4 linked regions of the Bombyx mori genome follow. The protein of the gene in region 3 interacts with the protein of the main gene of each other region in a pairwise test. Links are inferred from orthologs where the notes say so. Each region holds a gene or a part of one and is shown on either strand. Other genes may lie near its edges.

Region 1 (4,518 bases), on a different chromosome or scaffold from region 3:
ATAGATGGATGAGCTCACAGTCCATCTGGTGCTAAATGGTTATCGGAGCCCATGGACATCTACAACGTAAATGCCGCTATGGAATGAGCTCCCCTCCACGGTGTTTCCCGAGCGCTGTGACATGTCCTTCTTCAAACGAGGCTTGCGGAGAGTATTAAGCGGTAGGCAGCGGCTTGGCTCTGCCCCTGGCATTGCTGAGGTACATGGGCGACGGTAGTTGTTCAAGACTTACTTCCCGGCAGTTGCGCGGGGGGCGCGGGCTTGGGGTCTGGGGGCGCGGGGGCGAGGTCCCGGGCGCGCCTCTCGGCCCGGTCCTGCGCTATCTGCTGCAGGATCCGCTGCCGGGCGAGCTCGTTTTCAAGCTTCTCCCGTTTCCTCTCTTCCTGTAACGAGACGAGACATTGCATCGGGAATACGAATGGCGGTTTTTTTAATACCGCCAAATCCTTCCAAGTGTTTCTATGAGGTACTCTAGAATGTTTTGAGACAAATTCGTCCCCAAGCCAGCGAAACCGATCCAAATTAATATTATAAATGCGCACGTGTGTTTGTTCACGTCGAAACGAAGTAACTGACTGACATATATATATCTATATATTAATACGCGAAGCAAAAACTTTGCATCCCTTTTTACGAAAATTGCGCAGACGGAGGAGTATGAAATTTTCCACACTTATAGAGAATATAGAGAAGGAGTGCAGCATGCTTATTATTTTTTTAAGTAATGCTAATAATACCTTAAATCAATAAAGAAAACATTACGCACACTACCATGTATTTGACACACACACATATATATACTCTTTGTTTATTGCCAAACTTTAGTTATTGCTCAAAGTCTATGGTCAAATAGAGAATAGGTTAATATTGTTTATCTTCAATATTATTTGTCTATAGTGTAGTCTTGGCGAAATCTGTGATGATAGAAGTACAATAGTCTTTGACAATAAAACCTTAATAATGTTCAAACTTATAATTTCAATTAATTATAGTCGAATTTCGACTACTGCGGGACCACTAGTTTTGTTAAAATGGCAGCTCGAGGTCAGAAGAAAGAAAAAAAGAACATTTGACTCCCACAAGACACGACGTTTTGTTATCACGTGATGTCCATGGGCTCGTAACCCCTTCACGTCGAGCGGGCCGTAAGCTCATTGCATACTTGTATCTGCTTCAGTTCCTGTTCCGCTTGCCACTTCTTGAGTTCCGTGACCCCTTTGCCGGTGGCGCGTCGTTCTATCTCCCTCTGCTTTTCGAGCTAGAAAGAGATGAAGCATTATTATTTAAAAAAAAATTGCGCATTTCCCGCGGCGAATGTTGAGGGGGTTGAGGGTGTGCGGCGCGCTGCCATGAAGCAATCTGATTGTCAAAAGGAACCGGAAGGCTGGTTCTGGTCCAGCATGGTGTTCCGGGACACCAGCGGTACCGTCTGACGGGTCACCGTACCTAGACGATTGACGTTGCACAACCTTCGATTCGCCTCGTCCTTTAGTAGGGGTAGGGCCCTAATCATCCCTCGAGTCCTACGGTCCCCGAAATCTACAGACCAGTCCCCAAAGCGCGGGGACCTCGTAGGAGATTTGACCCCCAGCCCAAAAAAATCGTATAATAGTGTTAGCATAAACTAACCTCCTTCTCTTTCTCCTCTTTCTCTCTGCGTCTCGCTTCTATCAGTAGCTTGGTGCGTTCCAACTTGTCTTCTATTTCGGTCAAGGTCTCCATCCCCGAAGGTTTCTGCTGGTTGGCCTATGAGAATCTCTTATTATTGTATGTGTATTTATCTTGACAATTTCGACAGAGTCGTGCTTCTCATAATCTACCACCGGATCGGAAATGCGACCCACTGAGAATATCCGGCGAGACAGACTACTGTGATTTATATTACTATAATTATTCCCTGTTTATTTGTTTTTTATTGTCATTATATAATTTCGAATGCTTGAATATTATACGTATTTTAATAAAATTATTGTTTGTTTTCTACATTGACGATACACTAGTGGTCTGCGAGGAGAAAGAAGATCACGCACCTCGCTGTCCGTCGGCTCGGGCGATTCGTCCGCCGGTGAGGCGGAGTCGTCCGCTGGGGGGGCAGAGTCCCGGCTGGGCCCCGGCTTGTCGTGCTTAGGCCTGGGCACGCGCACGCATATCTCATCGCCGCAGACTAACTCGTAGTTATCAGACTCCGAATATTCGTCTAATACTTTGATGAAGGCATCTTCGGAGGAACGGAGGGAACTGAATTGACCTCATTGGCATTCATTGAAACTTAAGATAAAGATAAAGAAGCCTTTATCAGCAACCTTATTTCATATTTAGGGACATACTATTCATTTTTTTCTTTGCATTTGACATCGGCTAAGATTGTTTTGCTTTCGCATAGGCCTCTTTTTTTTTATTGCCTTTGTAGGCAGAGGGGCATACGGCCAACCTGATGGTGAGTGGTTACCGTCGCCCATGGACTTCAGCAATGCCAGGGGCAGAGCCAAGCCGTTGCCTCCCCCAAATCCTAACATAAATTCCGGTCGTGGCATTTCCTCTTCCACGTGGAGCATGTAACGGCTTTTATGTCGTCTACCCATCTTTGGAACGGTCGTCCTTTTAATCTTTTCCCCTCTCGAGGGTACCATTCAGTTACTAATTTAGCACATTTTTCTGTTTTGCTACTTATTAAATGACCTATTGGAACTTAATTAATTACTAATATATGTCGTGGATAACGACTTAAGTAATATTGAGACAATGTTTTGATTTTTATTTTTTTTTAATCATAAAACATTGTTTTGATAAATATCACAAAAATGTAGGGTAGACGCCGTAACGCCAGAGTATATATATACTATATTATATAACTATTATATTTACATACGCACATGCTATCTTGTTATATACATATATATAAAATTATTTATGAACAAAAAACGTTTGCATTATTTTCGTTTATAATAAACTAGCTTTTGCCCGCGACTTCGTTCGCGTGGAATAGTTACTTTGGCATAACGCTAAATTTTCCCTCCCACTTCATTTACGTAGAAAGTGAAAATATTTTGAAACATTCTTTATTGGTGCTCCACTTGTATCGGTTTAATGATGTTATAATATAGCCTTCCTCAATAAATGGGCTTTCTAACACTGAAATAATTTTTCAATTCAGACCAGTAGTTCCTGAGATTAGCGCGTTCAAACAAACAAACAAACTCTTCAGCTTTATAATATTAGTATAGATACACAGAACATCAGAATGCCAAGTTATTTAACTTGTTCTCTGTAAACCGGAGACTCTCCAAACAAGATCTGAGCAGTTAGCTCATCGCTTCTGACTTTAACCCGGACAGTTACTGCCATACCATCTCAACCTCCCCTGTTCTAAAATACTAGATCATTTAATACCTGAATGATCATTAATCTTCGGATTTTCTTGCCCTGTAAAGGAGAGAGAAAAAAGAATTTAAAACAGTCGTAGGCTTTATACTACGTCAATATTATAAAGCTTCTAGACATCACAGCAAGAGTGCCAACCTTGAGACGTGAGGTCGATGGCTTCGCATACCCATCTACCACACCCTTCAAACTGGAACGCATGACAGCTTCGCGGCAGAAACAGGGCTATTCCTACCCTCTTGCAACACATCCTACCACAAAATAAACATACAGATATGGTATATTTGGCGGTAGCTACCATACCGCGCAAGATATTTGACAGATTTCTGAATCGGTATAGCGGTAGGCAGCGGCTTGGCTCTACCCCTGGCATTGCCAAGTCCATGGGCGACGGTAACCACTCACCATTAGGTAGCTGTATGGTTTTTTTTCCTACCTAAGCTGATGGTCTAGAGCGACCATATCAGCATCACCGGGCTAAGCCATATGTTCCTCTGACGCTGACGCTAAGCTCGCTGACGATAATATCGACATAAACAGTGATGGATTACGGGTAGGTACCACTCTGCCTATTTCTGTCGTAAAGCAGTAATGCGTTTCGGTTTGAAGGGCCGGGCAAACGTTGTAACTATACTGAGACTTTAGAACTCATATCTCAAGGTGGGTAGCGGCATTTACGTTGTAGATGTCGATGGGCTCCGGTATCCACTTAACACCAGGTGACCAGTAGACCACCATGTAGGCAACAAATAAAAAAAAAATCTCATTGTTTACTCCTAAATACGTCTTTAATGATATTTCTATTAATTAGTATGATACTTGCGATGTTCCGCTAGTATCCTATCGATCCTCGCGGACAGATTGTCGGCGTCCACACCAGCGCAGACCACTTCGAGAGGAGTACCATTCCTGCCGATGAAGAATAATGACGGCACCGGCACGATTTGATCTGAATTCGATTTAAGGATGAACGTGTGAAGATCCAAAGCCTTAAGTTGAGTGAACGTCCGTTGACGTCGCAGTGTGAGTGGTGCCATAAATGACTTTTTTTTTAAAAGGGATTTTATGACCTGATAATTAAGACCTTTAAGTCATGTCTTATTTTTATTTATATTCATAAATTTTATGAAAAATGAT
Region 2 (4,518 bases), on a different chromosome or scaffold from region 3:
CACTACAACATTGACATCATATTTGGAATTACAGTTAAATATAAAAAAATAAATCAGAAAGAAATGTTCGATTGTTCTCTAAATTAAACAATCATCGTAATTTTTAAGGCATATTTCATATTTATATTTGTTTTGTATGATGACTACATTTAATTTAAGCATTTACCAAATGTATCCTACATAATAATTTACTGCCACCTTTTTATACTATATTTACATTTTATACTTTTAAAAAAAACAGAGACATGTATTTATTTGTAATAAAAAAAATACTAAGTAGGTATGCAAATCGAACAATATTTTTAAAAAACATTGTCAAAAACTTATTTAAAAATTTAATATCCATCTTTTACAAAATTAGAAATGTATATTATTAAAAATAAATAATTATCGGAAAACTAAACGAATTAAAATAGTATATATCGGTGTCGAATACCACTTTGACCAAATCCTATTATTTCAATAACTTTGTCAAGTACTAAAATAATATTGTTGGCCACGTGAATGTCCGTAAAATTCGGAATAGGAAATCGATGATATTCACAGCAAAGTCGAGAATTTCCGGTTACTGCTAAATAAGATTAGTCTATCCGATATTAAAAATGCAACTGTTTTAGTCGGCCTTCTTCGAGAGACCCGATCTGTGTGTTTGTAAACGATATTTTTTAAAAGGCTTATTACACTTGGCTAAATTTAGTCGACTAAATTCAGAAGCAAATTTAGAAGCAAGTTAGAAGCTTCTGATTACACTTCTAAATTCAGTTACTGAATCAATTGTCAATTTAAACGCGACGAAGTAGGACGTGTCGTAAGCGGATGTAAGCGGTTGGCCCCAGCATTGTCTAGACAACAAAAAATTGGTCTGTGGGTTCAATTGAAACAAAAAAAAGAAAAAGAAGAATATGGGTAAAGAAATATTTAATGCTGCGCGGAAAGTTAGCAAATATGAACATTATGAGTGATTTAGAACCAGCAGACTTCAGAAATTATCTACGAATGGATTCGAGATCCTTTGACCTAATAAAACCTTGTGACACCGTTTATTCAAAAGCAGGATACTACCCTGCGAGATAGTATAAGTTCAAAAGAAAGATCGGTTGTAGCATTAAGATTTCTTGCAACAGGAAATTCGTATGGAGATTTAAAATTTAGTTCTTTAATATCCCAACCCCTGCTGACAAAAATTATCCCTGAAAAATGTCGGGCTATTTATAAATATCTGGCATATTAAATAAAGGTGACAGAAATAAATACTTTTTATTCGAAAGTAAAAAACAAACTAAAACGTTCTTACGCACGGAGAGCTATGGGACGACTGAAATCATTAAGTAACTAAACGCGATTACACCTTCCTAAATGCGTTTCTTATTAGTCTTCTATATGATTTAGTCAGTCAGAAACCATCCTTGCTACTGAATTTAGTAGGCTAGCTTACTGAATGCTATTACATTTCACTGAATTCAGTCGACTAAATTTAGCCAAGTGTAATAAGCCTTTAAGCCAGAGAGTGCAAATGATTTCCCGAAAGAAATACAACGTGAGAACGAGATACAACGAGACACAATTTATTAATATTCGCCAAGACCGCTGGTTCATATCGTAAAACATCTTAATCTATGTACATTGACAATTAATTTTAACATTCAATATCACATTACTAGGAGACATAAAAACTAACTACAATAAAATTCACACGGGGAAAGATGTAATGTAAATATAAAACTTAAAATATCTTTTAAAAAACCCCAAAAACAGACATCACTATAGGAATTAGATACGCTACATTCAATTTTTGTTTGCAGGCTGCTTAAATAACTTAAGCTACTGCATTTATAAAATCTAGTTGCATCTGCTCGTTCTTTGTGGATTTATTCATTTGCCTTTCTTACTGTATTTTTAAAGTTTTCAAATGAAGGGAGAAATTTGATAATGCCTAAATGATTATCTGATGCTTTCAGCCTCGTTTTTTATACATTGCCTCAATAACAAGAGTATCCTATATTATGAGCATTGTAATCACACTTCTATTAAAATCTGCAATCGGTCCTCTAATTTTAATATCTACGGGTGGTCCAAAAATCAACTAGTATAAAATATTTTTTTCATTTTTTTTATTATACTAATATAGCGCCATCTTTACGTTGCCTATGATTCGTGTTCAAGATGTAAACTCGAATAAAATACATGTAAAAATTTAATGTAAGAGAACAATCTCCCGACGCCGAAACACCAACCACCTTAGCATTCATGGAGAACAATTATTAGGTATTGTTTTAATTTATTATTATTTTTGCTCAAAGAAAAGCATTAAGCGAATCCGCAATGTAAAGCTTACAAAAGTCGGGGTCAATGCCCGCACTTTGTCATCACGCGCCAACTGGTGGAAGCTTACCGTACTCGAGCAAGTCCTTTTCGAAGCATCACTGATTTTGAATTGTGTTGTACATATTTGTAAAACGCAATCAAGCATTTTTACTATGCCAATTTATTTTATTTTTATTTTTGCAAATGATTAACATCTGTTTTGTTTTTCAGAAGACCGAGCTGATTTGTAATACATTAATCCTATTTCAGACCCTTTAGAATCGTCACATTTCATAAACACATTCATCATCGGGAGAAATTCTCTTACACCGCCTACAAAAAATTCCGAGAGAGAAACAACTGTCCGACGGCTGATCACATGGATTACAATATCAATAGTCATAAATGTATGAAAACCGATTTTGGGTACCACACTCTTACACAACAAGGAAGAAACATTGACCCCAAAAAGTTACTACAAAAAAAGAGCATTCCTTACAAACCACGACACTTTATTACCAATTTATATAAAACTAGAATGTATACATATTCGTGTTCAAGCGTTGATATCGTTAACGAACAACACGTCTCGATCCTTCAGTCCCACGTCCAACAAGTTGGACGCTCCTCGGGCTAACACGCGTTTGGGAAAGTTTGTCGTTATCTCGAATTCTTCCGGAGACTGCGGATGGCTGAACACAAAGTCGTATAGATCCTGTAACGTGTTCACAAATTAATATAATTTAATTCTCTTTTTGTAACAGCAGCAGAAAGTATTTTTAATTTTCATTGCTTCGATATTAGACCTTAATATTATCGACACACGTTCCATTTTTGGGCGTACCAGTATATTTTGAGGTAATAAATTTTGTTTGGTTATTGTTAGCCTTTTCCAGTGACCACGTAAACCATCTATGCGTCACGAACAATAATACTATAGTATGCTAAGTAACATTAAACCAAATTGACAGCTGTTGACTAAATCGGTAGTTATTATCGACATTACCATAATTAACTAGGTCACAGCACTACCGGATTCCTTAGGATTGACACGAACTCGCGCGCCTACTGTATTTTTTATATCGTATCTTCTATTCAATAGCCTGAATGTTGTTACAATGTAAGTTTCTCTGGGCTTTTAATAATAGTTAACACAAAAAATGTATTTACCTGAGTGGTGTGGAAATGTGAAAATCTGCGAGTGAGACGTTCGCCGTCTGGCAGACGGATCAGAAGCACCACGGTGTCAGCGCCGCCCGACGGCTCCAACGGCAGACGAGACGCCATCGCTTTACGAGCCTCCACCACCTGAACAAACCGCACCAGCATTCGACATTAAATTATCGTAATAGGCTCTAATGCATTAAATATATCTATGTAAAAAATTTATGGTATATGATTTATTTAAACCAGTCCATGTAATCTAAAAAAATCTGTTGTCTAAAGAAACTGAGAAATAGGAAATATACGTTTTAATTTATATTAAACAATTTATTTATTTATTTATTTATTATATCCATCCTTGTGCTTCTGATATCAAGATTTATGTTATATTGTCCATCCAGATTTTTATATCTATATACCTAGTCAGGTCATAAATTCTGTCACATGTTTAATGTAAAATAATTGAAACAAGTTTATTCATTATGTAACCATTCATATCCCAAAATGAACTTAACAAAACATAGATTCTTATGACACTAAAGTTTATTCAAAATGACCTCCGTGATTTTGAATACAGGCCTTCAATCTGCGCGGCCAGTCGTCTATCTCAGCACGAACGAGGTCCATGTCAATATCGGCGGCTGCCTTAATCAAAGATGTCTTGAGTGACTCCAAATTGGGATGAGGCTTTGAGCACGCCTTTTCCTCCAAGTGTTGCCATATCTTGTAATCTAACCACTGAAGTAGGAAACCTATGGAAATGAAACGTCAACAAAAAATTCGTGCCGCTGTGACGTCATCTGGCCACAAAACATGGCGGTTTTAGTGCTGCCCAGAAGATTTTAATGTTAGTAGGTTTTATCGATAAACGTTCTTGGCTCATTTTAATTTAAATATTGTTGAGTGAATGTATTTGTAGAATTTATACTTTAATAGGAAGTAAGTATATTGTTATGTGCAAAGATGATGTGATTTAGATATTATGTAAAATCTAAGACGAGATCGTGCTTCAAATTTGCCAAGTAAACGATATGACGATTTTTAAAATTT
Region 3 (3,386 bases):
GGCGAATGGCCAGCTTGCAGGCTCGCTGGCATATCTCCGTCAGGTCAGCGCCACTGAAGCCTTGCGTCACCTGCACAGTTCTCGTTATCATAAAGAATCCGCCGAGGGCAGTGGTAGTCATGGCGTGTAAAAGTAAAATGGCGGTAGAACGTCTTGCGAGTCTCCACGGGTAGGTACCACCACCCTGCCTATTTCTGCCGTGAAGCAGTAATGCATTTCGGTTCGAAGGGCGGCGCAGCCGTTGTAACTATACTTGAGACCTTAGAGCTTATATTTCAAGGTGGGTGGCGCATTTACGTTGTAGATGTCTATGGGCTCCAGTAGCCACTTAACACCAGGTGGGCTGTGAGCTCGTCCACCCATCTAAGCAATAATAAAAAAAAATAGAGGTATTTTGCTATTAATAATATTGTTTTATAGTTATGTATATCAATTATCACTTATACTATAAAATATACTTGCAAAAAGTAGCCATCTTTCTATGAATACAAAAAATATATTAAGAAGTGGAATCTACCTTGGCGATGTAAGACAAGTCAACGTCCTTAGCGATAGGCGATTTGCGAAGGTTGGCGCGCAGGATGGCCTCGCGGGACTTCTCGTCCGGCAGCGGGATGTAGATGAGCTGGTCCAGACGGCCGGGACGCAGGATGGCCGGGTCGATGATGTCCGGTCTGTTTGTGGCACCTTCATCACAAATGATTCATTTAGTTTCTCCTGATTCAATTCACTATAATTATTTTATAAAATTATCATTGTAATCGATTCATCATCTGCATGTTTACGATTTGGTTTAAAAAAGAACTAGCCTACTTCGCTGCGCATTTAAAATTAACATTATTATTTATTGTCATTATTATTAGGGAGTCCAACACTCATATAAATATTGGTCTATCCATTAAGTACGTGTATTTTCTACATGGATATCAAGTTTCAAGTCAATCGGATGCAGGGTTCAATAGTTATAACGGAACATCCGTAAAAACCACTGTAAAAACCCGTTTTTTTTCCCCCCTACTTAAGCTGATAGTCTTGAGAGGCTGTATCAGCGTAACCTTAATTAGTAGGTGAGCTCACGGGGCTAAAACCTGATGACGTTGCTAACACGAACCCTAGCAAGACCCGTGCTTCGCAGAATCTACCACCGGATCGGAAACGCGACCCACTGAGAAGATTCGGCGAGAAACTCAGTGGGCTGTCTGAGGGTAAAACCACTGTAGATTTATATATTAGTATAGATAGTGACTTGTCAATTAGCAGTGGTCATTTAATGGCAATTTCTTTAGGTAGTATAATGTAGTGACCGATGATGAAGACGTTCTTCTTGGCGCCCATGCCGTCCATCTCGGTGAGGATCTGGTTGATGACGCGGTCCGCCGCCCCGCCCGCGTCCGACACGGAGCCGCCGCGCGACTTGGCGATGGAGTCCAGCTCGTCGAAGAACAACACGCACGGAGATGCCGATCGAGCCTGACCGGGGACACAAACATTATATTATGTACTATAGTACATTGTGCACCAAGGGAGAAAAGGAAGACATTTCCTCCTGCGTGGATAAGATGTCCTACTTTTTTCCCGCGGTGCACATACTATTTTTTCGCCTACCAGGCCGAAAGATCGTAGAGTACCGAGGATACTCATAAAAAAAACCATTTAACTGTTTTTTAATTTTTAAATAAACTACTACTAATTGAATAAGAACTGTCTGATGAACTCATCTTTGTTTAATACTTCACTATTCAATTTGATTGCCTTTTGTTTGTGTCACTTTTACACTAAACACAATATTGCAAATTACCCGAGCACAACTATGGCGGAGAATTTTAGGTGCGTGAGAGCAGACGTAGACACTAACGCGCATGCGCACTTGTCAGTACCCAGGGAGGAAAAGTTACACTTTGTTCCCTGTACAGCGGGGGGAAAACCGAACTTTCGGCGTAAGTAGGAGAAAAAAAGAATTGTAAAATGGGTTTGTGTTCTGTTTAAAATGATGATTACAGGAAACAATAATTTATTATGTTTCAGTTTTTTTTTCAAAGTAAATATAAATGGATCAATAAGCCCACGGCTCTCCTTGTGATGAGCAATGCCAAGGCTTCATACATGCAGATATGAGGGCTAAAATTTCATTTTCCTAATTTCCAAACAACTGCACACTACAGATGTAGACATTTAAATTACAATTGATTATTAGCATTCCAGCGGTAGTAGCCTTAACTTTTATATACTCACTAGCTGCCCGGCAGACTTCGTAGTTCCTCAATCGATAAATAAAATACCTAAACTTTTGTATAAAATAAACTTAAAACAAACAAATGGAATCCGTCTGACGGGGGTCACATCAAGTAAAAACAAGATTTTTTTTTATTTAATTCTGAGCATTTTCATATTTATCTACCTTTTAAACCTTCTCTGGACTTCCACAAATAACACAAGACCAAAATTAGCAAAATCCGTCCAGCCGTTCTCGAGTTTTAGCGAGACAATCCAACAGCAATTCATGTTTATATATATAGATTTAGTAAGTGAGTATTATTATTGCAATGTATATTACGTGAAGCCGTAATGTAAAGCGAAAACACACGCCTTCCTCCAAATTGAATATTTTTCAAATGCATTCTCCTCCATCTTTGTTTTATAGAATATTTCAAATATACCCAGTCTAAATGTAACAAGACAAATGATTTAACAATTAGGACGCACCTTGTCGAAGATGTCGCGTACGTTCGCCTCGGACTCGCCGAACCACATGGTGAGCAGCTCTGGTCCCTTCACTGATATAAAGTTAGCCTGACACTCGTTGGCGATGGCCTTTGCCAGCAAAGTTTTACCTGATTGATAATAATAAAACAATACTTGTAATGATTTCTACAAATTAAACCAGTTACATAATAATGTATGAAAAAAATTAAATTATGCAATTTTGGCATGCAGAGTCGTCGTGACCTAAATGATACGACGTTGACTACGACGAGCGATGCACCGGTGTTCGAATCCAACAAGCGGGTACCAATTTTTGTAATGAAATACGTACTTATCAAATGTTCACGATTGACTTCCACGGTGAAGGAATAACATCGTGTAATAAAAATCAAACCCGCAAAATTATAATTTGCGTTATTACTTGTGATAGGACGTCTTGTGAGTCCCGGGTAGGTGCCACCACCCTGCCTATTTCTGCCGTGAAGCAGTAATGCGTTTCGATTTGAAGGGCGGAGCAGCCATTGTAACTATACTGAGACCTTAGAACTTATATCTCAAGGTGGGTGGAGGCATTTACGTTGTAGATGTCTAAGGGCTCCAGTAACCACTTAACACCAGGTGGGCTGTGAGCTCGTCCACCCATCTAAGCAATAAAAAAAAACAAAAAGGATAATTTTTTTCTT
Region 4 (3,524 bases), on a different chromosome or scaffold from region 3:
TTATTCAATTATCAACGGACGCTTCAATCACATCGGACTGAATGAACTAATGTCGGGTACATATTCATAATATACTAAAATATTTTTTTAAGTTTATACATAATTAAGTAGGATTCCTCTTTGTAACAGATCTAAGTGTCTCTCGTGCGAGTTCTTAAACGTTTTAGTCCACTGTTCGAACTGCTATCAAACAAGTAGTCTTTGATAGTGGTTATAGCCGTTTTTTAACATCATCAATGGAGATCAGACTGGGTGGGAAGATGACAAACTGTCTTCTTTATTGGTATTGACACGAAAGACGGTCCAGCCGGCAGATTCAAACACAACCATCGCCCGTACCATAAACATTTTTTTTTGTACAATGTTTCCTTATTAGGAAAGGAAAGGGTATCTAAAGTACCATAAACAATGTTAATAGGCAGCTGACAGACTCCGGACTGCGAGCACTCAAACAACATCACATACGTAATTTGATTGTTGGATTAATAGTATCGATCGATAGGCCTCAGTTCTGAAGTGTGACAATTCAAAAAAATATGTTCTTGTCGCAGTTAGGAAATTAAATAGCATGGTAGTTTGATCTGTGCATTTCAATGTTACAATGTATTTCAATTTTAATTTCAATATTTCATTTCACTTAATATTAATTTTACAAAAATATTGTCTTTTTAAATCATTCATTTAATTTTTTTTCATTGATGACAGCCGCAACGTAGAACCTTTCTTTTAAAGTCTAGTTTCTCTTATAATGAATAATATCCCATATTTATGTTAATTGCTGTATAACTAACTGTTTAAGATACTTGTTACTCTGCAGAGCTGAGGTATCAGTTAATGTATATGTTATTAAATAATAAACAGCAAAATTCAATTAATAAATTTTGTATTTTGTTTCATTTTATTATTACAAATATGATTATTGCTTTTTGTACGCATCAATACTTCATTACGATGGTGTTCTCAAACCGCATTTCAAAAAATAAAATATTTACATAACCATGTATTAGAGAAATTAAAATAATCATTAAAATTTTCATAAAGCTAACGCTTAATGTTCAGATATTTTAAAATTTTATGTATTAATATTTATTTATTTATTTTACACAATCCATAATAACAATACTTTACAAAACACAAACAAAAATTATATACTAGAGTCAAAGTTTCAACCGTTTCTTTAATACATTTACAATCCATGTTACTTCAGCATTAAAGGCCCTAACTTACGATGCATATTTACATAATTTACATGACAAAAAGATTACTAAAAATAAAAACAATTGAACCATGACTCTTCTACATACAATTTTATTTATTACGTGAAACGCGTGTTTACGAAATCACAAACAATTCAATAATTTAAGCTCAGCTTGAAAATCTCACAATTTTTATTTATTAGCTTACACGGGTGACAAGCTCAGGACCCACCTGATGGTAAGTGGTTACCAGAAGCCATAGATATTACAACGTAAACGCCGCCAACCAACTTTAGATATGAGGTCTAATTCTCAATTGTGCTGCATAACACTTTCTCAAACCTTCAAATCGGAATACATTACTGCTTCACAGCAGAATTAGGCAGATCAGTAATATCAGCCCAGGCGGGCTTACATTACGCACTACCACCAGTAAAACATTAACATTAATTCACTATACAAGATATAGATCGTTTAGATCTGTCACAGTCATAAAAAAATATTTAGCACACAATCTTAACACAACAAGTCCACGTCAGTTATATTCAACCCCAACTATTACATTACATTAAACTAGTTACATTTAATATAGTATAACAATTTCATTAACTATTCTATTTATAACATTTTTATTGACACAATTTCGATAATCACAATTGACTGACGTGGAAAACCTCAAAATGTCGATTTCAACAAACCTGTATCAAATCGACACAAGTTATAAACTCATTAGTTATGTGCACTGTGAGATTTTCACACCGAGAGTTGTCCCACACTACGCCACACATATAGTAGTGTCAATAACGTCACAGATGAAAGGCACGATTCCCAACATTCACAGGATCCACTACGGCAAACACTAGAGATCAGCTCGGCGTCACCATGAGCACTCAACGACTAGTTCACACCGACTCACACTCGCGCACAGTACGTCTCATCGCGTTCGCCGCATCGGCATCGACAGTTCACGTGACAATCGCGTCGTTTTCGATCATAACAATACATATCTTCTGCGGCACGAACGACGCCACGGCCGAGCCTGCAGTTAGTCGTAGTCGATGTCCATGTTGTACCGGTCCGAGCCGAGCGACGACGACGAGGTGTCGGGCCAGCCGGAGCCCGACGAGCCCGAGTCGAAGCCCGAGAGCGTCACGTGCGCGCCCGTCGCCTGCATCATCTGCTGCAGCGCCGCCGCGAAACCTAGAACCATCAAATATATTATATAATATTTTACACTATGAATATTGTAAGTATAGATAGGGGATTGTTTAATAATCAAATGTTTGAAATTAAACTGAATAGTAATCAAAAATTTGTAGCTATTTAAAGTATTTAGATTTGTCATGAAAAATGCTCTATCACCATTCTGTTAATAAGTATAAAATTGTAGTTTTAAAAAAGGTTTTTTTTATTGCCCTTGTAGGCAGACGAGCATACGGCCCACCTGATGGTGAGTGGTTACCGTCACCCATGGACTTCAGCAATGCCAGGGGCAGAGCCAAGCCGCTGCCTACCGCAAATAGTTTTTATTTATTTTTAGAGAGTAAATAGTTTTTATTTTTTTCTAATGCAAATCCTATTTGGTTTTTGCATAATAGTTTTATGTTCGTAACATTTATGTTGCGAATTATAATCAGGAAGATGATACACACCAGACCGAGCATTGATTGAAGCTATTGACGGAGTACTACTGGCCGTAGACGTGGGCGGTTGCGTGGGCGGTAGCGGCGGTTGCTGGGTCGTGGCGGTGGCTGTGGTGTCTGTGGTGGTGCTTGTGGTATTGGTGATGGCTTCAGTATCGGCAGGCGGAGGATCTGCTGGGAGCAGCGAGCGCCGACAGATGGGACAGGTGGCGTGTAGCTGCAGCCACGGGGAGATACACGACGAGTGGAACAGATGCTCACATTCTAACCGCGATACTGTCTCGCCTGAAATGTGAATTACATATTTTGTTAACTTATCTTGATTAGTCACTGTTGATAGTTGTTACAAATGGCAAAGCTATTAATCCTAATTCATTCCTAAATCATAAGTAATATTAAGTAAAAAACATTTTATGCCTTACTACAAAAATTGTAAAAGTTTCACTCTTAATTATGTAAATTGATAAAAATATATTCATATATTCATGATGGTAATAATCAGTTCAGTAGGTTATTTATTTATTTTTTGTTAAATTTGTGAATGAGCTCACATATCATTCTAGCTATTTCATGCTATAGGATCTTAAATTGAGATGCTTGTGTTTTACTAACCTGTTTCAAAATTTTCCCAGCACACTGAACAAGCAGTCCCTTTAGCAGCATGATCCTCCGTGAGTATCTCCTG

What was found.
Region 1: the proteins of Ter94 (region 3) and UBX domain-containing protein 4 interact in binary tests that used the Homo sapiens proteins (3 or more experiments, as listed by UniProt). The link is inferred for Bombyx mori from reciprocal best matches to the Homo sapiens genes VCP and UBXN4.
Region 2: the proteins of Ter94 (region 3) and FAS-associated factor 2 interact in binary tests that used the Homo sapiens proteins (3 or more experiments, as listed by UniProt). The link is inferred for Bombyx mori from reciprocal best matches to the Homo sapiens genes VCP and FAF2.
Region 4: the proteins of Ter94 (region 3) and E3 ubiquitin-protein ligase RNF126 interact in binary tests that used the Homo sapiens proteins (3 or more experiments, as listed by UniProt). The link is inferred for Bombyx mori from reciprocal best matches to the Homo sapiens genes VCP and RNF115.

Annotation. Positions count from the first base shown.
Region 1 is NC_085108.1:1,315,329-1,319,846, forward strand, and holds part of UBX domain-containing protein 4, read right to left. Parts: intron 4,331-4,518; coding exon 4,205-4,330; intron 3,424-4,204; coding exon 3,391-3,423; intron 2,219-3,390; coding exon 2,031-2,218; intron 1,747-2,030; coding exon 1,630-1,746; intron 1,259-1,629; coding exon 1,163-1,258; intron 384-1,162; coding exon 233-383; intron 1-232. UniProt on the Homo sapiens protein: Involved in endoplasmic reticulum-associated protein degradation (ERAD). Acts as a platform to recruit both UBQLN1 and VCP to the ER during ERAD.
Region 2 is NC_085109.1:7,645,342-7,649,859, reverse strand, and holds part of FAS-associated factor 2, read right to left. Parts: intron 3,613-4,518; coding exon 3,475-3,612; intron 3,020-3,474; coding exon 2,861-3,019; 3' UTR 1-2,860. UniProt on the Homo sapiens protein: Plays an important role in endoplasmic reticulum-associated degradation (ERAD) that mediates ubiquitin-dependent degradation of misfolded endoplasmic reticulum proteins.
Region 3 is NC_085125.1:11,199,249-11,202,634, forward strand, and holds part of Ter94 (transitional endoplasmic reticulum ATPase TER94), read right to left. Parts: intron 2,832-3,386; coding exon 2,704-2,831; intron 1,471-2,703; coding exon 1,305-1,470; intron 688-1,304; coding exon 518-687; intron 71-517; coding exon 1-70. UniProt on the Homo sapiens protein: Necessary for the fragmentation of Golgi stacks during mitosis and for their reassembly after mitosis. Involved in the formation of the transitional endoplasmic reticulum (tER).
Region 4 is NC_085127.1:1,843,266-1,846,789, reverse strand, and holds the end of E3 ubiquitin-protein ligase RNF126, read right to left. Parts: coding exon 3,452-3,524; intron 3,125-3,451; coding exon 2,849-3,124; intron 2,397-2,848; coding exon 2,242-2,396; 3' UTR 867-2,241; downstream 1-866. UniProt on the Homo sapiens protein: E3 ubiquitin-protein ligase that catalyzes the 'Lys-48'- and/or 'Lys-63'-linked polyubiquitination of various substrates and thereby plays a role in a number of signaling pathways including autophagy, innate immunity, cell proliferation and cell death.